2 linked regions of the Alligator mississippiensis genome follow. The protein of the gene in region 1 purifies or fractionates together with the protein of each later gene. This does not show direct contact. Links are inferred from orthologs where the notes say so. Each region holds a gene or a part of one and is shown on either strand. Other genes may lie near its edges.

What was found. The genes of interacting proteins can lie anywhere in the genome.
Region 2: the proteins of CCT8 (region 1) and transducin-like enhancer protein 2 purify together in Homo sapiens (affinity purification with mass spectrometry; 3 studies listed by BioGRID and IntAct, with this or other methods). This does not show direct contact. The link is inferred for Alligator mississippiensis from reciprocal best matches to the Homo sapiens genes CCT8 and TLE2.

The regions. Positions count from the first base shown.
Region 1 is NC_081824.1:289,663,320-289,673,700, forward strand, and holds the start of CCT8 (T-complex protein 1 subunit theta), read right to left. Parts: upstream 4,709-10,381; 5' UTR 4,615-4,708; coding exon 4,555-4,614; intron 2,903-4,554; coding exon 2,812-2,902; intron 2,466-2,811; coding exon 2,386-2,465; intron 1,454-2,385; coding exon 1,304-1,453; intron 591-1,303; coding exon 410-590; intron 1-409. UniProt on the Homo sapiens protein: Component of the chaperonin-containing T-complex (TRiC), a molecular chaperone complex that assists the folding of actin, tubulin and other proteins upon ATP hydrolysis.
Region 2 is NC_081839.1:3,785,932-3,796,342, forward strand, and holds the start of transducin-like enhancer protein 2, read right to left. Parts: upstream 4,789-10,411; 5' UTR 4,230-4,788; coding exon 4,206-4,229; intron 4,065-4,205; coding exon 3,967-4,064; intron 3,762-3,966; exon of another isoform or gene 3,700-3,761; intron 3,284-3,699; coding exon 3,220-3,283; intron 2,307-3,219; coding exon 2,262-2,306; intron 974-2,261; coding exon 911-973; intron 657-910; coding exon 582-656; intron 298-581; coding exon 111-297; intron 1-110.

The sequences.
Region 1 (10,381 bases):
ACATTTTATTCTTGAGTTCTAAGAAAATGGAGCTGTCTGCTCCTCATAACATATAACTCACATTACACTTAAAGTTATTATGTCTTCCAACTACAAACCAGTAGCTGCAACAGTAACCTTCCTACTAAGAAAAAAAAGATGAAAACAGATTTTCACCTTGAGCTATGACTTGCAAGAAAGTTATCTGCACCAAAACTAGTGTATAAGAACAAGCAAAATGAAAAGGTGCTCAAGAAAAAATACCACTTTCAGAATCTAAGTTTTCATAACTATTAATACTGAATTACACTAATTCGATAACTATACCTTTCAATTCAATTTCCATGTGAACACTACCAAAAAAAAATAAATAAAAACAAGACTATACTCAATATAGATATGTATAAACAGCCAACTTGTTCATACTTACCACATGCTTGAGCAATAAGGTTGGCCAGGAAGACTTCATTGCCATATTGCTTGCTCATTACTGAGGTGTGCAGCAAAGATGATACTTCTTCAACATCTCTAAGATTTTTTGCAGAACAGCATACTAGATCAGGAAGAATTTCTAGGGCTTTCTTGCAGGCCTTTTCATAGCCTTCTATCACCTGTGATGCAGGCAAAAAAGTTAACTATGACACTCTGGCCTCCCCATAGCATACATTTACATTCAGTGTGCTTCCTTGTGGAGTGTCTTAAAATTTTAAAGTGTATGTATACTGTAATATGGAATATGAGAGAGAAATTTTAAATCGCTAAAAAAAGGGTGGTGAATACTAAGGGCGCAGACTCAATATTCTTGCTACTAATTCACTCTAAATATTACTTTGTAGTAAATTTACTCCCAATTAAAGAGCAGACACAAAACCAGCTGTCCTGAGGTAACTGCCTACCATAGAAGCTATTACAACACTACGTAAATAGGTGGGGAGAGCGCCAGTCTGCACCGAGCAAAGTGCCAACCCAGGGATGAAAATGACTAAGAAGCAGGCACACAGTCAGCATACAGTCATTTCTCCCACTGAGGGACAACTCTGCTCCAGATGGGAATGGCTCTCTCTCATGTAAGACTACGGGGCACTGGCTACTCCATTTTTATTAGTCAACTGACTTTATAACAAACATCTTGTCTACAGACAAAGTAAAACTACGACAATTCTCTCACTACTCTTCTTTAGCTATACGGTTACTGAAGTTAATCTGGCAAGAAAGAAAATAGTCAAGCATATTATGGATGCAACCAAGTAGTACAGCCCCAAATCACTAATCTAACATAGTACCTGTGCTGTATGAATGCAAATATCAAAAATCAACTACTTGCCTCCGAAACTGATAATCCCATCCTCAGAAGGTCTTCAGCTAGCTCAAGAAGGGCCCCAGCAAAAACAAGGACAAAATTTGTTCCATCTCCGACTTCCTGCTCTTGCATATGGGAAGCCATTACAATCATTCTGGCAGCAGGATGTTGGACCTGTTCAAAGGTTATACGTTGCCACTGAATTAACATTCTCAATTAGTAAACTTTAAAAATATATATTCTTAACGTTTTGTATGGAAACAAAGAAGTCTTTACAAAAAACACAGTTTATCTAAAAGGAATGCAGATGATTGGGATGGAGGAAGCAAGGTTTTGCTTCTTCTAGAACGTGTTTGATTTAGAGTGCAAAGCATCTGAAAATGCTGTGGCGCTGACCATTTTGACATCTTCCGCTTTTCTACATCTAAGGCCCCTACAAGACACACAGGTAAAAGCACTACGGGATCTGATGCACAATCCACACAACTGCACTTCCTGCCATGCCACAAGTGCATGGCAGAAGGTGCAGTTGAGGGACTGCTTGTCATACCCCTGCACACCTCACTGCCAGTGCTGTTAGATGCAATGGCAAGCAGCAAGTTCTGACAGCTGGAAGCCCCCTCACTTCAGGCCTCTAGGCCCACAAATAAAAACATAATTCAAAACAGAGACACACATGACTATAGCTGTAACATTAATTTCTTGTTATTGACTATCTCATTTCAAGATAGTCTTCCATGGCATTCTGCCACATAGGCAAGCCCAAAACGTTAGCAATCACAACTTTCTCTAAATTCTAATCTCATTTGGAAGAGAAAACAAGGAATTACTAATGCTATTATTCAATAATCAAAGTAATCATTTATAACAAATGTCATTTTGTTGCAAAGCCCTACTTTTTCGCTTGCTAGATTTGAATGTGTTGACTGTACACTTGTTAACAGTAGCTCTGTTTTAACACCTTATGTGGGCAGCTTAGCCAATAGAACTGAATCCTTGCTAGGAACCCTTAATAGGGAAACCGAGTAAAAAGCTTGTAGTTGTTAGAGTATTTAGGTGATAATATATCAACCAAAATAAAAGATAATATATAACAAAGCACTTACCTCCAGCTCTCTTAAGATCGTTGCAGCATCATTTGTAACAAAAAGTTTCTCCAGATGATTGATCACCATTTTGTTCATTCCTAGGAGCACAAACAGCGTATATATTTTACATACTTGCAAATACTGTTCTACAGTTTGAACCAATGTTATTAGTTTTTCAATTCCCAAAATTGAGAGACTTTCTTTCAGCACCTCACCCCCAAACGTTTTAACAGTGGTACAATACAACAGTGTCAGTTTTCTTATAAAGACAGTAAGATTATGAGAAAAGCATTTTGTCTTGGTACTGACCAATTTTTTTTAGCTATGTGACATTAAATACTGGAGTTCCATATTGCCACAGACCACAAAAGGCAGGTCTTTCTACAAGAAAGATACAGCATTGTATTCGTAAGTATGACAACAAACTACAAAATTCAACGTTACCATTTGGTCCATAAGCTGTACGGGTGGTTTGCGCAAGCTCCTTACATGCCTGAATGTTCCTAAACACAGCTTCTTCTAATCCAGAATAATGCTACAAAGAGAAGTTTATTACTTAACATTACAAATTCTAACATAAAATAATTCTCAGTTTTGTTACTGAATTCAGTGAGGCCAGGATTTCATTCCCAATATTTAAATACAAGTGACAGTGTTCTTTAAAAAAAAGTAAGGACAAAAAAGTACCATATAAAGTCTTCCAACTGCCCCACTGGCACTAGGAGCAAGTTGTTGAACAGGGAAAGAGGCAAGCTGGGTCCCCTTTTGATGCAAAGTGAATGCCTCAAGTCTATCCCAGTAGATCACTTCTGGTACAGTTACTGACTCATAATATGAAGCTTGAAATATGACGGGCACCAATTTACTTAAGAAAAAATCTTCCTTCGCTTGCATGAGAATATGTCACTCCCCTTCAGGAGCCATCCCTCCTTACCTCACCCCAAACCAGTTGCATCTTGTTTCTATGTCAAGATGTTCACTATACCTTAACAAAACCTAGCCTAAACCCTATACCACACAAACGTAACTGAGCTCCCTACTCTGCTAAATAATGCATCTTCACACAAACCCAGCTCTGTAGAGCATGACCAGGTGCCCTCTACATCCAAAAGGGAGGAGGCTGCAGCTCCTTCACTTTGGGAAAAGTAGCCACTGTTTTGCTCCCGTGCCCCTTCTTAGTTGGGGGAAGAGTCCCCTCACATCTGCTTCCTTGCTCCCCCCACCCCTTTCTAGAGATCTGCAGCTCCTGCAGTTACTGCCTACCTCCTACCACCCTCTTGAAACAGGAAAGCAGTAGGCTCCCCAACTTGCTCCATCTCCCCTTCTTCATCTTATTAACCTTCTCTAATCAAGCCTTCTTCATCTTACTAAGCCTTTTTCCCCCTTCCAGATAGGGACCAACAATGGCCTAGTGCCCTGGGCCTGTTTATTGTTTCTCCTATACCAGGCTCCTGATACGTCGGAAATACCTTCTTCAACAGCATCATAGACATTATGCATCTTTACAGCCCACACCAGCGGTGCTCAAGGTTTTGATCCCACAGGCCAAATGAGTGGATGGGCCCAGGAGCCCCAGGCTGCTTCTGCCCAGCCCTGCACGTGTGGGATCAGGCCCCTGTGCATGCAACCTAGCATCCAGTCAGGCCCACAACGGTAACAGGGCACCAGGGGTGGATCCAGCCTGTGGCATGGGGTTGATCACTCCTGCTCTACACCGCTTCTCTAGTCAGGGAGCAGGCAACAGCAGGTGAGGCAGCAGATGGGGTGGGGAGCAGAAAGCACAGCAGCAGAGAGCATAGGGTGTAAGGCAGAAAGCAGATTGGTCAGGGAGTACAGAGCTGGGGGGGGCAGAAAGGAGAGCAGCAGACAAGGCAAGGTGCAGAAAGCAGAGCATTTGGGGCACACGGATGAGGAGCACAAAGCACAGCAGCGGACGGGGGAGGCTGCACATGGCGGGGGGCAGAAAGCAGAGCAACAGAGGGGCCAGGGTGCACCATGCAGCGAGGAGCGGAAAACAGAGCAGCAGATGATACTGACAGCACAAGGTGTAGAGAAGAAAGCTGACTGGTACGGGTATAAAAAGCAGACAAGGCGGGGAGCAGAAAGCAGAGCAACAGAGACCCCTCCCCTTCCCGGCCGAGCCCGGCGCTTCCAGAAGTTTCCACTCCCCCAGAGCCCCGCCCCCACCTTCGCGCCCTCCTTCAGCATCTGGGCGAAGCCTGGGGCCTTGGGCACGTGCAGCGCCATGGCGGGAGGCGGGATGGGCCTGGAGCCGCGACAGAACCGCGCGCGAGCCGCCGCCCTGAGACCGAACGCCGCGTGGGGGATGCGCGCGCAACTCCCCGCTCCGAACCCCGCACGCATGCGCGGCGGGCCCCTGTCCAGGGAGAAGCGAACGCGCCCGGAACGCATCGATGGCCCTCAGGGCAGCGAGTCGAGTGACGCTCTGCGGCTTGGCCACGTGGTGCAGAGGGAAAGGCCTGCGCTTCTCTGTGGGGCGGGGCCTGAGAGCGCGGTGGGCACCGGCCCAGCACAATGGCGGGGGGGATAGCTTTGCAGGCTGGCTGTGGCAGGCCGCTCTGGCTTTCATTGGGATTGTTAGGCACGGTGTTGCTGCGCGCGTGGACAGTAATTACCATATTTGTACCATAGGGGTTCAAAATGTACACTCATGTTTGAGGCAGATTATTGATGCAGCACATGCAAAACCCAAATCGCTCTCAGAAAGTATTTATTATTTTTTTAATAGAAATTTTGTCATGTCCCCCAAGTTAAAACAGCCAAATCAATTCCAAATCCATGAGTCAATCAAGAAGCTTAATGTGGCCCTGCTACAGGCAAACATCCTCCACCCCTGCCTGGGGCATCAGATGCTTCCAAATCTATTGACAGGCATCCTACATCCAGACCCAAGCCCAGAAGCTTGGGGTTCAGATGCCCCCATGTTTTGCTTGCTCTCAGCTGTATGGCTGCAGCAACAAGCTTAGAGAGGAGTCCTTCATTTTCATAAGGTTGTGTAACTGAGATCATATCAAGTGATCAGAACTCAGTCCTTGCAAAGACCATCTTGACTGAGCAGGCAGAACTCAATTGTTTTAAACACCATGTGTGGTGCTAGAAATGGTGAGCATCCTCCATTCCCAACTGCTGATCCTGGGACTTCATATATCCCCAAATCCATTGGCAGGCATCCTACCTGCAGACCCAAGGCCACAGATCTTGGGATTCAGATGCCCCCACCTGATCTTAGCCCACAAGAGGCTGAGACCTAACTTTGAGGTTTACTATCAGCACTTTCTTACAGCTGCTTGCCTCAACATAAAGAAATGCTTCGACTTTGATTCAGTTCTCACTCACTCACTGGCGAGTTATAGTGAGCAATATAAAGTAAATAAGAAGAAAACTTATTTGCATGTTCATTCGCATATTTTTTCAGTGTACGATAGTTTTTCCACAATAGGATAATTTTGAGCTTCCAATACAATTATTTCATATTTAAGATCTGGCAATGCTGATTACGCAGGAGTGCTTCCTGGGTCAGCCAGAGCTGCTGTGTTTAACATGGTGTCTGTGGCCCAAGGGACAGTCCTAGGAGCAATGGCCTAGAGCTGCAGCAGAGGGAATTTAGGTTTGAGATTAAGAGGGTATTCCTGACTTTGCAGGTGCCCGGGTATTGGAACAATCTGCTATCTTGGAAGTTTTCAGGAACAGGGTTAGAAAGGCTGGGATGGTTTGGTCAGGGATGCTTCTGCTTTGAGGAAGGGGCTGGATTAGACCTTACGCCATCCCTTCCAAGCTAACTTTCTTGTGCTCCCCACAGCAGGACCTGCCCCCTAAAGCAGTGTTTCTCAACCCATGGGTCATGAGTCATGACCCAAAAGTGGGTCACAAGAATATATGAAAGGGAAGCGAACAAACTTTAAAAGTGGATTGCCCTTGAAAGAAGAAAAACGTGGGAAACTGTTTTTTTCCCTTGCAGGCTGGCAGAGCTCCAGCCTGCAAGGGGCTGCTTGAGGCCTCCCCATGCGACACATACCCACCCCTGTACCACAAACAAGGGCGGGGGAGGGGGGGACAGGCCAGGAATGAGGGGCAATGGGTCACGACTGGCCGTTGATGTTACAAATGAGTCCTAGTACAAAAACGGTTGAGAACCACTTCCCTAGAGGGCCTAGAAAGTAACTGGAATGCTCCTTTTGTACCTGATGACCCCTCAATAATTGGGGCAACTGAGCTGGGTTATAAAATCTACCACACAGCTTGTCCTAAATGTGTGCTAAAGGCACCTCAAACGAAAATGCACCTCATATGGCACTTCAAACAAAAGTAGTCATTATCTGAGGGGTTGTTAAGCCAACACAGGTACCTTCCAAGCCTTTCAAAGATAGGCCACTGCAGCAGAGATTGATCTTTGATTCATTTTGCCCAGGGTATCTGTATGAATGCTTTGGGGGAAAAAACATTTGTGGCCTCCAGTTATGGTGTATTTCACCAGAGCAGGGAAATAACATAAAATAAAACTGTCCAAATCCTGTTTATCCAAAACAGATAAAGCTTCTCCATTAATCACACAGGATCTGCCTCTTTCTGTAAAGAGAGGATGGTGGAAAAGGATGCATTGAGGAAAGTTTTACTCACTAACCTAATTAGCCCACCAGCCGAGAGGAGATGCCAGTAGCATCCCCCAGTGCTGCACACTCCTTCTGCCTATGGGTGTGTATAGTAAGGTGCTCTATATCATGATCATGGTCTACAAGTAAATTACATTTTCAATAACATGCACTTGTGGGCCGATATATGATTTTGAAAAGGCAGAAGAGGATAGATAGTGAGATGCATCATCACATATGTGGAACAGGCTTCCAAGGGAGGTGTTGCTCTCCCCTGCCTGGGGGGTCTTTGAGAGAAGGCTGGATAGGCATTTGGCTGGGATCATCTGACCCCAGCACTCTTTCCTGTCCAGGGCAGGGGGGTGGACTCGATGATCTGCTGAGGTCCCTTCCAACCCTAGCATCTATAAATCTATATGAAACCACATATCTTTTTCTCCAATTAAAAATAAACTAAAAGTTTAACTAATATGCCAGGGGTGTAAGGCTATATTATTCAGTTTCAGATTGGAGCAAAGAAACAAATATAACTTCATGCAATCAGTTAAAAACAATTGGCAGTGCTGTGAAGTAGGAGCTGTATCACCAGGAGCAACTAACAGACAGCAGAATTGAAGAACAAAGGGTAGCTTAATTGGTGGAACATCAAGACCATTAAAAAGAATAGAGGGTCGCTAACACCTGTGAAATGAAGAGTGCAGAAGGGGTCAGGTAGATTACAATGAACCATGAGGTCAATTGACTCCCTCAGCACTGCCTGATAAGAAATGCTGCTGCCACTGCCAGGTGGTTGGTTTTAAACTTTGGTTGGAGTAGGAATCAAAGGGTGGTGTAGAAGTGCACCAGCACTCCCCAACCCCGGATCCACCACTGCACAGATCCCATCCCACCCCCTCAGGCTCCACAGCATCTTTGCTGAGGGCACCAAAATAGCTACTGAGGCTTCAGTAAGGTTCTATGCACCATTACCATGGTATATAAGTAAATTCCATTTTCAGTTTTCCCAACAGTTTTATTTTATTGTTTGTCTATTTTATCATTCAGCAGTAGAGAGGGCTGGAAGGCACATTTTATATTTAAAAATTATCTATTTCAAGCAAAATACAAACATTTAAAATGATCATGTTTCAAAAAAGTTGCGCACAGAGAGGATTTGTTAGTCCAGAATTGTCTATGGTGGATTTAGAAGGCTGCTACTGATTTTAACCCCAACTCGATAGCCCTCTGCTCACTTATGCTGGCTCATGCTAAATTACTGGCAGTAACATACATGAGTAATTTTAGTGACTTCAATGTAATTACAAATACTGGTTTTACGTCAAGAAAATTTGCATCAATACAGTATAGCTAAATGAGTTCAGTAGTGTTAACAGATCCCTAACAAGCACTGGACTAATGCAAAACAAGACATGAGCCAGTTTAGTTTAATTCTATGGCCAAACTCAGCATGCATTGTATGAAAGAAATATAATTAATGTTTTATAAGCTAAACCAATTAGGTCTCAAAGTTCCTTAACATGCATACACAGGGACCTACTTGCAGCAAGACAAAGCCCCTTTTTATGGCTTAATCACAGCATGAAGAGCACATTTTGCAGGCATTTTGTGGTGGCCCCACCCCTTGGATCCAATTGCGGGAGAGGTCCTATCCCTCAGTGCTGACTGGCAGAGAGGCCCAGAGGGCATGGGGGGGAGTAGGGACAGCTGCCATCTTGTCTGCTGTCCCCTTTGCTCTGCCATGCCATCCTGCGTCTTCCCCTCCCGGGCAGGCCCATCTGGGAGGGAAAAACCGAATAAAAACTTATTTTAATTAGGATCTTTTTTTCATGGATTTCATAGGCACCCCCAGATTTTGCAGTCTCTGCAAAATCCACAAAACCATGATTTAGGTAGGTCCCTGTGCATAAGGCCACAATACATGTTGTACAATCTAGTCTTCTGTTAGCGGAAGGGACGAATTTAGAGTCTTACAGTTAACTTCCCCTAAATTGTACCACTTTCTTCTGTTTCCCAGTTTCTTTTAAGAGTAATTCCTAATTCCCCTATATAAGTATGTTGGCATTTGCAATGCACTTCCATTTCCTTTTATTAAATGCACATGGATTAACTCCAGTAATACTTAGGTGTTTTGGTGCTGTAGTTAGCACCTAAAATTGTGAAAGTTAAGTTCTAGTCCTGTTTCTAATTCATTTTTGATTGATTGAATGGCATTCAAATTACTAAGGAACATTTTGAAGGGACCAGTCTCCCTTCAGTCTGCCTGCAATGCTACATACCTCTTTTATTCAATAGGCATAAAAGAAGTCCTGCTTAAAACAGGTAAATAATGTTTTTCTTTTAATATGCATTTTCACATGAGCAACCTCAAGAGGGTGCACTTAGCTTAATTTTATGCCTTTCACAATTTAACATATATTTTTGCAATACTATTAACACGGTAAGAATAGAGTACAAAACTAAACTGTCAACCAAGCACCCTTTTAATTAATATTAAAAAAATATTATGTAGACTACTGTTTCTATAAGTATAGAAATCAGATAGGGAAATTAGACCACTGTAAGTTATCTGTTTATTTTATAGCCAGGGACTCAGACATTTCTTAAGATGAAACAGGAAGGAATCCATGCTTATCTATTCAATGCAAAGGGACTACTATGCTTACCCCTGTGTACATTCTTATGTATCTTTTGGCTCTGGACTATAAAGCTACATCCACATCTGTAGCACTGTTCTTCTCATGTCTCTACACCACATTTGACCATTTTGCTACACATGCTTGTGCATATTTATTGTACTTTGCGAGGCCTTTCATTGTACATGTGCCTTCAAGCAGCAGGCATTGCAGCAGGTGTTGCATAGTGTGAGGCTCTGTGCCTCTGTCACAGGTGGTTGAACCAATGGTATAGCCCTACTTCATTAGTTCCTTGGAGCGTCTGACTCGGGTACGTAGGTGGTTAAGACATCACCACCTTTGCCATAGTTCATCAGCCCCTGGTGGTAAGGACTTGGCTATGTCATATTGAATTAAATAGTTTGAATGTTTGTAATGGTTGCCCATTAGCCAGTTTCAGGAAGAAGATAAGATTTATCTCCTTATCTAGGTCATTGTTTTGGTCTGTGAAAAATCCAGACTTTGCTTAAAGTTTTAACTTTTGAATTTTATCTTTAGAAGTCTTTTACAAAGAGAACCTAACAATGATCTTTTCAGCAAATATCCTGAGTTCCGAGAGATCAAACTCTAGAGCCTTTTGACAGATTGGTAAGAAAAAGGTCACTTGCAGTGGTATGCAAGTTCCCCAAAGTAATTAAAATGATCAACAAAAGAAACTAATTATTAAGCAAAAGAATCTGTTGAGTAAGATCCAAGCCCAAATTTGGGGGTAATGACAGGTTTGAGTAGGAG
Region 2 (10,411 bases), on another chromosome or scaffold:
GGAGGATCACAGTAGCCACGGCGGGCACCCTCCAGGGTGCAAAGGGTTAACCGCCCCCTATCCACCCCCCACAACCATGTGCTGCTGCAGGGCTGCTGCTGCTGCCTTACCTCTGCTGTTCTCAGCATCCGGACCCACTCGGTCGTCCTTGGCGGCCAGCTGGGTCTGGGCTACCAGTGCCCCCGACAGTGCCAGGAGCCCCGAGGTGCCGGCCAGGCTGGAGGGGGGCAGGCCAGAGGGGTGGGGGGTGAGCGGGATGGGCGGCGCATGGTGCGAGAGGTGCTGCAGCTGCTGCTGCTGGAAGGAAAAGCATAGAGGCTCCAGAAGCTGCCGGGAGAGGGGGAATGCCCCAAATCCCACCCCCCAAGGATGAGGGGCCCCTTCCCTCTAGTCCCAGAGTCCTTTGCACCCATTGCAGCAGCTGGTCAGTATGACCAGCAAGCAGGACCCCTCCCACTATGCTCCAGATGTGAGGACCAGCAGGCCTAATGGTGAGCAAAGCCCAGACCCCTGTGGGGGTGGCACTGCAGGCTCCCCGTGCCCAGCTTCCCACCTCCCCACCCTTGAGCCGAGCTACTCACCCCAATGATGCTGTTCAGCTCCCCCATGGTCACCTGCTTGGCCCGTTCCACGGCCTGAAGCACTTGCTGCTGGTGCTGCCCGGGAAAGCAGGGCGGTCAGGGGTGCTGAGCATCGCAGGGTGAGACCCCTGGGGCCACAGCTGGGTGGGGAGGGAGGTGGGGCCGCAGTAGGGTCCACACAGGGATGATCCAGGGGGGCATTTGAGCGCCCACCCCACCCCACCCCACCCCACCCCCTGGGACCTTGCCCAGCTGTTCTGGCCTGGGTGCTTCTCCCCCACGGGCCCCGCGAGACGCTGCTGGTGCCCCGCCAGCCTACGGCCGCTCACCTCTTGTGTCAGGAAGGGGATGATCTGGGCACAGATGGCGCTCAGCCTCTTCACGATCTCGGCCTGGAGGAGGAAGGGGGCATCCAGGTCACCCGGGCACTGAATCCAGGCTCTGGCGGTCCCTCGGGCCACATGGGTTTAGGAGCCAGGTAGATACCATAGACACAGCTTGGGCACGGGCTCAATTCCCCACGTCCCTTCCCAGCCTGCTTCAGGCTTGGTGTAGCCCCACGTGGGACTCTGGGCTCAACTACAGCTGTGGCTCAAATACAGCTGTGGCTTGTGCCCGCTGGGAGCTGCCAGCTGGGCACAAGCGCTCGTTAGCTCTGTGTAGCTCCTTGCCCCCACAGATCCTGGAGCTCTCCGCAGCCTCGCCATCAGGCGGGGAAACTGAGGCACGCAGCGGCAACGGGAGCAGGGCGTCCCTAGACTGCAGACACTCGCAGGACCCATCTCCCTGGCTCTAACCACAGCTGGACGCAGAACCAGCGCCCATACCACGCTCACGCCCGGAGCAGGGAGCACAACCCAGGCATCCGGGCGCCAACATCCGCTTTGCCCGGCACTTAAAACACCCCTCCTTCCTTCCTCGCCATCCCCCCGCGGCCTGGCGCTCCCGGCTGGGTCCCCGGGGTGGTCTCGGATGCCCACGGGATCAGCAGCAGAGGAGGGCGCAGCCAAGGGCAGCGCCGGTGCCAAACCTCCCCGCTCACAAAAGGAGCAAGCGCGGGGGGCTGAGCCAGCTGGAGAAATATGGCAGTTGACTTGCCACTTTGTCAGGCACGGCTCCAAGCTAATTTCCCTGGCAGAGAGCCCCGCGATGACTGGGTTGATAAATCTGAAGAGGGAAAGCAAATTACGGCAGCAACAAAGGGGCCGGGGCTGGCTGGAAAACACTGTGCCGGCTCCGAGCAGGGGGGAAGCCGAGGTCCGGTTGCCACCAGCCGCTCCGGGCACCCCGCCATGCCCTCCTGGCCCCGAGACCACTGGCGGAGGGGAGGCCGTGCCAAGGCTGGCTGGGAAAGGGGTTTAGGTCCTTAAAGGTGTGGGCGGGCATCTCAGTCCCTGTGGTGTCAGAGGGATTTAGGCACCTCAATACACCCACTAAGGCTTAAGGACATGGTCCCTGCTCAGGGACCCCATCCCTGCCCTGTCCCCCCTGTGCTCCTCAGGGTCCTGGCATTTGTACAGCGCCAAGCGCAGCAAGAGCCGCTCCCCACCGGGACTTGGTGCCACCCAGCTCAGCGTCAGTGAGCTCTGGGTTCAACGCCCCCTTTGAGGGCAACGTGGAAGGATTGTGCCCCAGGGCGGAGCGCCTGCCCCGCGTTGGGCCTGGGCCCCTGGCACTCACCTGCTTGTGCATCTCGATGTTGAGCCCGTAGGACATCTCGTAGTACTGCAAGGGAAGCCAGACGACCGTCCAGTTACAGGGGGGTCCCACGGGGCATTAGCGGGGTCCCTCTCTTGGGCACTAGCAGGACAAGCCCCCCCGCTTGGCCCTCCAGCCCCAGCAGCTGCAGGAGAGGGGCTCTGTGCAGCCCACCCTCCCCTGCCCCATGTCCTACTCACACCAGGTCCTGCCTGAGCTTAGTGGGCACCAATGCCCGCCTGCCCTCCCCCCGCAACATGCCTGCTCTACCCACTGGCGCATATTTCCCCCGGGGAACTGGCACCCGTGCGGTGAAGTGGGGGGGAGAGGGGGTGGCAGAAAGGACTCATAGCCAAGCATGGACAGGACCCCAGCCTCATTGCCTGGGCAGGGGGGCCAGGGTGTTTCCCCCCTCACCCACCAAGATGTTTGGGCATCTCCTTTGCAAAGAGCTGGGCAGTGCCCAGTTCGGCTGGGCAATGCCAGGGCTCCCAGCCCATTTATTAACCCCTTGCTGGCCATTACAGATGCTGCTCCCTGCCATCATGGTGGGGAGCACGAGGTGGGGGGGTTCTGCGCCTTTGCTTCCAGGAATCCCCTCCCACCCCGGGGGGGGGGCAGAGACCTGTATAATTAAGAGACCGGGGCAAAAAGGAAGACAGAGAGCATGGCCTGGATCCAGGCTGGCACCGAGGCAGCAGACAGCAGCTGCCCCCCCCCCCAGCCCATTGCTAGGACTAGCGCTTAACTCCTTCCTGCCTGATGCTCCCCCCCACTCGGGGAGACCCCCGGGGTGACCTGCTGGCAGCACCCACTGGCTGGGGGGGGGGTCTCCTCCCAAGCCAGGCTCTAGGGACCCACGGTGTGCAGAGGACCCAGCTGGAGGGTGAGCCCCCCACCCCGTTGGCTCCAGCGGGGTGGGGATGAGTGGGGGTCTTACCATGACGTAGTGTCGCTGCATCTCCGTCTTCTCGCTGGCCAGCTTCTCACATTCCAGCTTCAGGCTGCGGACAAACCGCTCGGTCACAAGGGCAGGCTGGTGCCACCCTGCCCTCCCCGCCAGGGTCCCAGCATCAGGGCTGGCAGCCCCCCGCCCCTGCTGCCCCGCTGCCGGCGGGTTGTGGCACGCAGGACGGCAGGGCTCCCATGGCATCGACCCACCCCCGGTGCCTGTATTCCCACCCTGGCATCTTGGCTCCCGACCTGCACCCCTTTTCCCCCAAGCATTTGCTTGCGCCAGCTCTTGGGGTCTTCCTCTGACCTGAAGCCCCCCCAGCTCGCCCCCTGCCCTCTTCCCCCACCATGCAAATGCCTCCTGCCTGGCAAACCCCAGGACCTGACCCCCCCCCCCCCCGGCACCCCCAGCTGCTCCCTGCCTCCCCGCTTGGTACTACCAAGCTCTGTGCCTTGCCCCCTTTACCCGGGACCTGGCGCATGGCCTCTTGCGGTCTCCTGACCCCCAACCAGTCTCCTCCATCCACCTCCCCATGGGCTCACATGCTCCTCCCAGCTCCCCCCTCTCCAAGCAGGGGGCTGAGCCCTGTCCTCGCTATCAGGCCCCTGCCTCACCTGCCCCCCACACCCAGCCCAGCCAGCTGCCACGGGCAAAACTCTCCTCCTGCCCCCCTCAATGACCCCCAATGCCCGCCGTCCCCCCAGCCGCCCCCAGCCCGCCCGCACCCCTCACCTGTGGTACTGTGCCTGCAGAAACTGGAATTCCTCCTTGATCCGGTCGCAGATCTCCAGGATGGAGAACTTGAAGGGCTGCCCGGACTGGAGCGGGGTCTGGGGAGGGAAGCACAGGGGGCATGAGCGCGATGCCCCGTGCATCGGGGACCTGCCCCTGCCCCGCGCCTGGATCAGAGCCCAGTGCCCCCCTACCCCTGCCCATGCACCCCCGCAGCCAGTGGCGGGGCTGGTACTTACAGGGTGCCGTCCTTGCGGGTACATCCTGAGCCGCTGGCCCCAAACGGCTACCAGCCAGGGGAAGGGGGCGGCCCCCGCTAGCCCCCCCAGGACCCCTGCACTTGAACTTCTCCAACAGCCGCCGTAGGATCAGGAGGGCAGCCAAAGCCCAGGACGAGCCAGGCGGGCACAAGGCTTCCTCTGACCAGGCTTTTTTTTTTTTTTCTTTTTATCTTAAATGCAAGGATTTTGGGGGTGCCGGAGCGGAGATCTCCGCCGGGCGAGAGGGGAGCAGGACTCCCTCCCCGGCGGGTCGTGAGCGGCCCATCGGACACGGGGCTGGGGGGAAATCTAATCGGCCTTAAAGCATGGGGTGGGGGGGGGACAAAAAAACCCAGCAGGAACAGAAGGTCAGGCGAAAATCTGGCCGGATTTCAGCAGCGGTCCCTGGCTGGAATAAAAACTACCTCCTGGCAAGGCAGAGAAAGCAGGGGAGCCTGGCGAAGCGCGCCTTAAGGTGGCTCTGGCCCTCCAGGAGAGGCCTTGGCCACGGCGCTGGGAGAGCTGGGGCGCCCCCCAGGCACCCCCCAGGCACCAGCTCCCGCAGGCAGCGGTGCCTTCGGCCAGACCCACAATTTGCCGCCCCCCAGCTCCAGCCGCTTTGGTGTCGCCTGCCTGCTCTGATGCCTCCCCCGGCCTCCTAGCCACTCCAGTGCCCCCTCCCCAGCTACTTCAGGGTCCCCTGGCCACGCTGGTGCCCCCTCCCCAGCCACTTCAGTGCCCCGTGAGTGCACTGGTGCCCCCAAGTTGCTCTGAAGCCCCCCGGGCACCGTAGGGGGGACGGGGGGAAGCCAGGAGAGCAGAGCAGCCTCCAGCCCCCGGCTTCCTTCTCCCGGACCCTGGCTGGAAACCAGCCCTCCCTCCACCCCTGGCATCATCTGGGCATTGTCCACGCAGGATGATGCCCGGATCAGGGTCTGGCATCTCGGGCATCCGAGGGGGCCGAACACAGGGCACACAGCGCCCCGAGAGAAAGCCTGGACTGGGCTAGAGAGGCTGCGACTGGGGCAGCGAGCAGCAAATGCCCCGAGCAAGCTGCTGTCCTGCCCCGGGCACCGCAGCGCCTCCTGCTGGACCAAGGCTGGCGGGGCGACTCGCGCTGCCCCACGCCTCGCCTTCACGCCAGCCCCCAGGCCCAGGCCAGCGGTGCCAGGGGACCAGCGCTGTGCTGGACGCCAAGGCAGGATGCTCGGGCCGGCAGGTGACCCAGGAGGACGCCCGCGCCCTGGGCTGCCCAGGTCCACCTTAAAGAGCTTTGCAGCCTCGGCTACTGTGGACGCGGCGCCATTGGCTGCCGTGGGCTGGGAGCGCCAACCAATGCGCCTTCCCAGTTCCCACATGGGTCCATGATGTCAAAGCTTTCGGAGGCTAATCAGGAGGAGAAGCAGGGGGGAGCCGGGGTGGGGCAGTGGCAGTGGCAGGCTGGGACTTGTGGTTTCCCAGCCCCATCTCAGCTGGGGCAGCATCTGGGGCAAGGGTGCCAGGCCTGGGCAGCTCTGGGGGTGCATCCCACCAGATACCCCCATGCCCCCGCCTGGCGAGAGCGTCCTCGGCCTCGGGCATGGCTGTGCCTGGTGCCACCGCCCCATGCCGCCTCCGGCCTTTTGGCACGAGAGCGGTCGGAGACCAGGCCCCTCCCTGCCAGGTGCGGGGCACAGGTGCTATGAAGCAGTGAGGCCGCTTGGAGCATGTCAGTTCTGTGCCTCGGTTTCCCCCCTTTCCAGGGTAGCCTGCAGCTCAGGCTCCTTTTGCAAAGAGCCCCATGCCTAGGACTGCTCCAGGGAGCTGGGCGCGAAGGCGGCTGGTCCCTAGGGCTCTGCCCCCCGTCGCTGCGCGTAGCAGGGCACCGCTGGCACCGGACGAGTGCACGAAGCACCCCATCTCGCCCCCCAGCACAGCTGGCCCGGACTACAGCCCCCAGCAGCCTCCGCGCTGCAGCTCCCCACCGCTGTCAATCAAAGTAACGTGGGGCCCAGCTCCCTCCACCGCCCGCCCGAAGTGGCTGGCTGGTATAATTACAGCACATTGATCTAACGGAGGCAAGGCTTTCCTGCTGGCCATGACTCAGGCTGTGCAGAGAGCAGCACATCCCTTTAACACCAAGCACAGCGGCACCATCCATCACAATAGGACCCCCCCCCCCCCCCCCCCCAGCTCCCTGCCCACAGGGCTGCAGGCAAGACAGTAAAGCGCTCTTCCCTCTGCATGTCCCGCCGGTCCTGGGACACGGGGACCCTGGGATTCCCCATCCGAGCGCGGTCTCACTTTGTTCCCCAGCCTTAAAAACCAACCCAAGCAGCCTCTGGCCCTTCCAGATCCCCGAGCTGCTGGAAGCATTCGTGCAGCACCTAGCACGGTGGGCCGGCCAGGCCCCGAGCCTTGAGGCGCTACCCGTAATTCATAACGAAGCAGTCATCCAGGCAGGCGCTTGCCCACGCTGCCGTGTTCCACCCCAGAAGTGGCTGCAGATGCATCCCCCGGGGACTGCCTTATCACCCAGCGGGGTTCGGATAGAAGGGACGTCGCTGGTTGGGGACCGCGCAATACCAGGCCGGGCCTGCCCATTCTCAGGCCAGTTTCTTGGGGGCAATGCCCATATTAGCCCCCTTCTCCATGGCCTCTGCTTGACTGAGCAAAACTGGGTTCTCATGCCCCTGGGGCAGGACTCAATGATCCTCCGGGGTCCCTTCCAGCCCTATTGTCTATGAGTCTATGAAAATGCCAGTGGATGGAAGCAGGCACTGGGGGGTCATGGCCTTCCTGATCTCTCTGGAGAGATTTGCACCCATCTCCAGACAGACACTAGGCATTAGCATGTCTGCTTCATGGATGGGGAAACTGAGGCATGGAGCGGTCAGGTCCTGGGGTCACCAGGAGCATCCCCCACGTCTCCCCGATTCCTGGCCTGGGTAGACACAGGGGCCCTAGATGGGAAGGGCTGGGAACCCCTGAGCCGCAGGGACTGGATCTACTCACTCCTCGGGTGGGAGGGGATCCACTGGAAAGAGCGATCACGGGCCCAGGAGCCAGGACTCCCGGGTCCTATCCTGGCTCTGCTGCCTGCATCTTGCGGAGGGCCGGCGTGCCTCAGTTCCCCCACCTATGAAAGGGAGCAGGAGGGACCCGTCGCAGGACTAAGCAGCGCCACGGGGCGACGTGCTGCACCATTTCTTTGGGGAAGGAGAGAAGAAATTACAGCGCACCCAAGGCCAAGCAGCTCCGGGGGCTGATTTCATCAGTGATGCAAAATTATCTGCAAGCCTATCAGCTGCGGGGAAGGCAGGGGCTCCTCCGGCCCAGATCTCAGGGCACATCCTGCCCTCCGGCTGGTGCCCGACCACCCCTTATCACCCAATTCAAACGGGCATCGGCCCCGCATTTGGGAGCAGAGGAGGTGGCCAGGCCAGGAGTCATCTCAGGCTCCCCATAGACCCCCGCTCCTGTCCCCCCCATCAGCTCTTGGAATAACTGCTGCTCCCCGGGGCAGGGAAACACTCAAATCAATTAAGCTGCAGCCCACCCGGGAGCCGGGAAGGATTACAGGCCCTGTTTCAGATGGGGTGGGGAAGAGAGATTTGCCCCCCACCCCGCAGCCTGTCGGTGGCAGAGCTAGGACGGGAACCCAGGCATCCGGGCTCCTCCTTAGTCCTCCTTGCTCTAACCGCTACACCCTGCTCCCTCCTTCAATCCACAGAGCCCTTCCCCACTCACCCCCAACCATCCCTGCTCGTCCCAGAGCTGGAAACAGGACCCAGGAGTCCTGGCTCGCAGCTGCCCTGCTCTCCCTCCTGTACCCTACTCTCCCCCCACCGCTGTAACAATTAGCCCCCAACACCTCCTCTCCCACACGGACGGACGGACAGCCCCACTCAGCCCTAGCGGAGAGGCTTCCAAGGGTTAATCCTCCCATCCACCCCTCCATGGACCCCCATCAGCCTTCTGCTCTTTAGGGTTAAACTGGGTGTTGGGGGGGGTGTTGGAAATAACCCTGCTCCTTACATCCTGCAGAAGCCAGCTGTGTCTGGCCCTCCGGCGCGGGCAGCCGCAGGGTTAAATATTTAATGTGTCACATTTCATCCTAATCTTTTATTAATTATGTTATTTACTTGCTGCATGATGTCGCCTGTCAGCAGCACGGTATGGGGTCGGGGGGCTAACATGTAGGATCTGCCTTCCCTCCCCCTCCCCACCTGGCTAGGCCAGAAGGTGCTAGTGTAGACAGGGATGGACGTGGGGATCTGCCACGCTGCGTGCCCCACGGCCCAATGGAGATGGGGGGTCTCTGCTACGGACTGCCTGCGGGGCCTTGGTCAAGTCACTTAGGCTCATCAGGCTGGCAGGTCCCTTGGGAGGGGATGTGGGGGCACATCTAATGCAGCCCTCTGCTCCAGGCAGGCTCATCCCTGAACCAGCCCCATTTTCTCCCCCTGGGCTAAAAACATCCAGTGATGGAGATCCCACTCTCCCCAGAGGAATACGCCTCCTTTCCTTCTCCCACCTGCTGCCAGTGCTCTCCAGGCAGAGATCGTCTCCAGCCATGCAGCGCCTTGCACCTCTGGTGATATAGCCCCCCACCCTGGCACTATACGATATAGCCCCCAGCCCTGGCAGCTCCTAGCGGAGGGGCGGGCGAGCTCTTTCACACCCCCTGACCCTATTGCCAAGTTCTCTGCAGCCAGCCCCTCTCCTGCCAGCAGCTTGGCAGAGGGTGAATGGGCTGGGGGGTGAGGGGGAAGCACAGCCTGGCATTAACCCCCTCCCCGCTCCCCCCCCAGCCCAGTCTGCCTGCTGGGGACATCAGACCAGTCCAGAGCAACAGCCACCCTGCAAAGCAGCTGTGCACAGCTGGGGCACGGGGTCAGGCTGGACCTGCCGTGAGACTTGGATGACTTGGACAGTGGCCCAGGCACAGGCCAGCCCGGGGTCTCTGCCCCCTCCAAGCAGGTGGATGCGCCCGGGGAGAACTGGCTGGAATAACCCCCAGCCTGATTCTAGGTTTCATTTTGGGGGGGGGCAGGGGAAGGCCGGCTTGTCACAAACCATCTCCACTGGAGGTGGGGTGGAAACTGCTCTGTGCCTCAGTTTCCCCACTGCTTAACACTCTTCCTTCCCCCTCTCCACTAAAGGGAAGGGCCATTGAGGGCATCCTTATGGTGTTGCCTCGGAGCCCACCAAAGCATCTCCTTCCACTGGCACCCCTGCACCCAACACCCCCCCTCTCCCGGTGGCCAAATCCCCTTTGCTCTTCCCAGCCACTTGCCCACTACCTGCTCAGGAGCTCACTCACACAGAGGAGCCTGCAGAGATGAGACACAGCAGGGGAGGGAAACTGAGGCACGGAGGCAGGACGTGATTTCACCAAGTGATGGAGCTGAAACTGGAACCAAAAGCCTGTCCGCTGCGCCACCCATTCGAGCCCGGGCCATGGACACCAGCTCTGCTCTCTAGCGGCATCTGCAAGTCCCTGGCCCGAGAGGTCCTGAAGCTGCAGGCCCCAGGGTCACTCGCAGGAGATGGAGGCTGGGCTGGGGCACAGGGACGCATCCCCTGCAGCCATAGGGCAGTCACCCAGGCCCACGGGGCTGTGGGAGGGGGGCGCAAGCCCTGAAAGCTGCGCGGGAGCCAGCACCGCATTTCCCAGGCGCTGCCTTCGCTCTGCCCACCAGCTCCCGCCGGCACTTACCGGCTCCGAGTGGGGTTTGAATTATTGATGCCTCTTTTAGCTTTTATCCTGCGTCCGCGGCAGCCACCAAGGCCTGGAAGCTCCTGCATTAGTGATGAGCTGGGAGCTGCACCCCCACCACCACCCCCACATGCATTACCGAGCTCTCCCGCTTCGCAGGCGGTGCCTGGGTGAAGCCAGCTGGAAGCGATGCTGGGCTGGGGATCAGGAGACATCCCCCCCCGGGCAGCCGCAGCCACGGGCATGGCATGGATCTCGCCAGCTCCGGCATCCCTGGCGCGGGACGGCCCAGCCCACAAAACCCTGGCCCCCTGCCCTGAGGGCTGGCAGAGCCGGGGAGTGAACCCAGGCGGGCTGGTCATGCCACCCCACCTTGCCAACAGACTCTGCAAACCAGGGGGTGAGTTTGCCTCTATGCTGCACCCGGGCTTGGGCAGCTGTGGGATTTGCCCTGCCAGACCCGGTGTAGGGAGCACAAGCAATG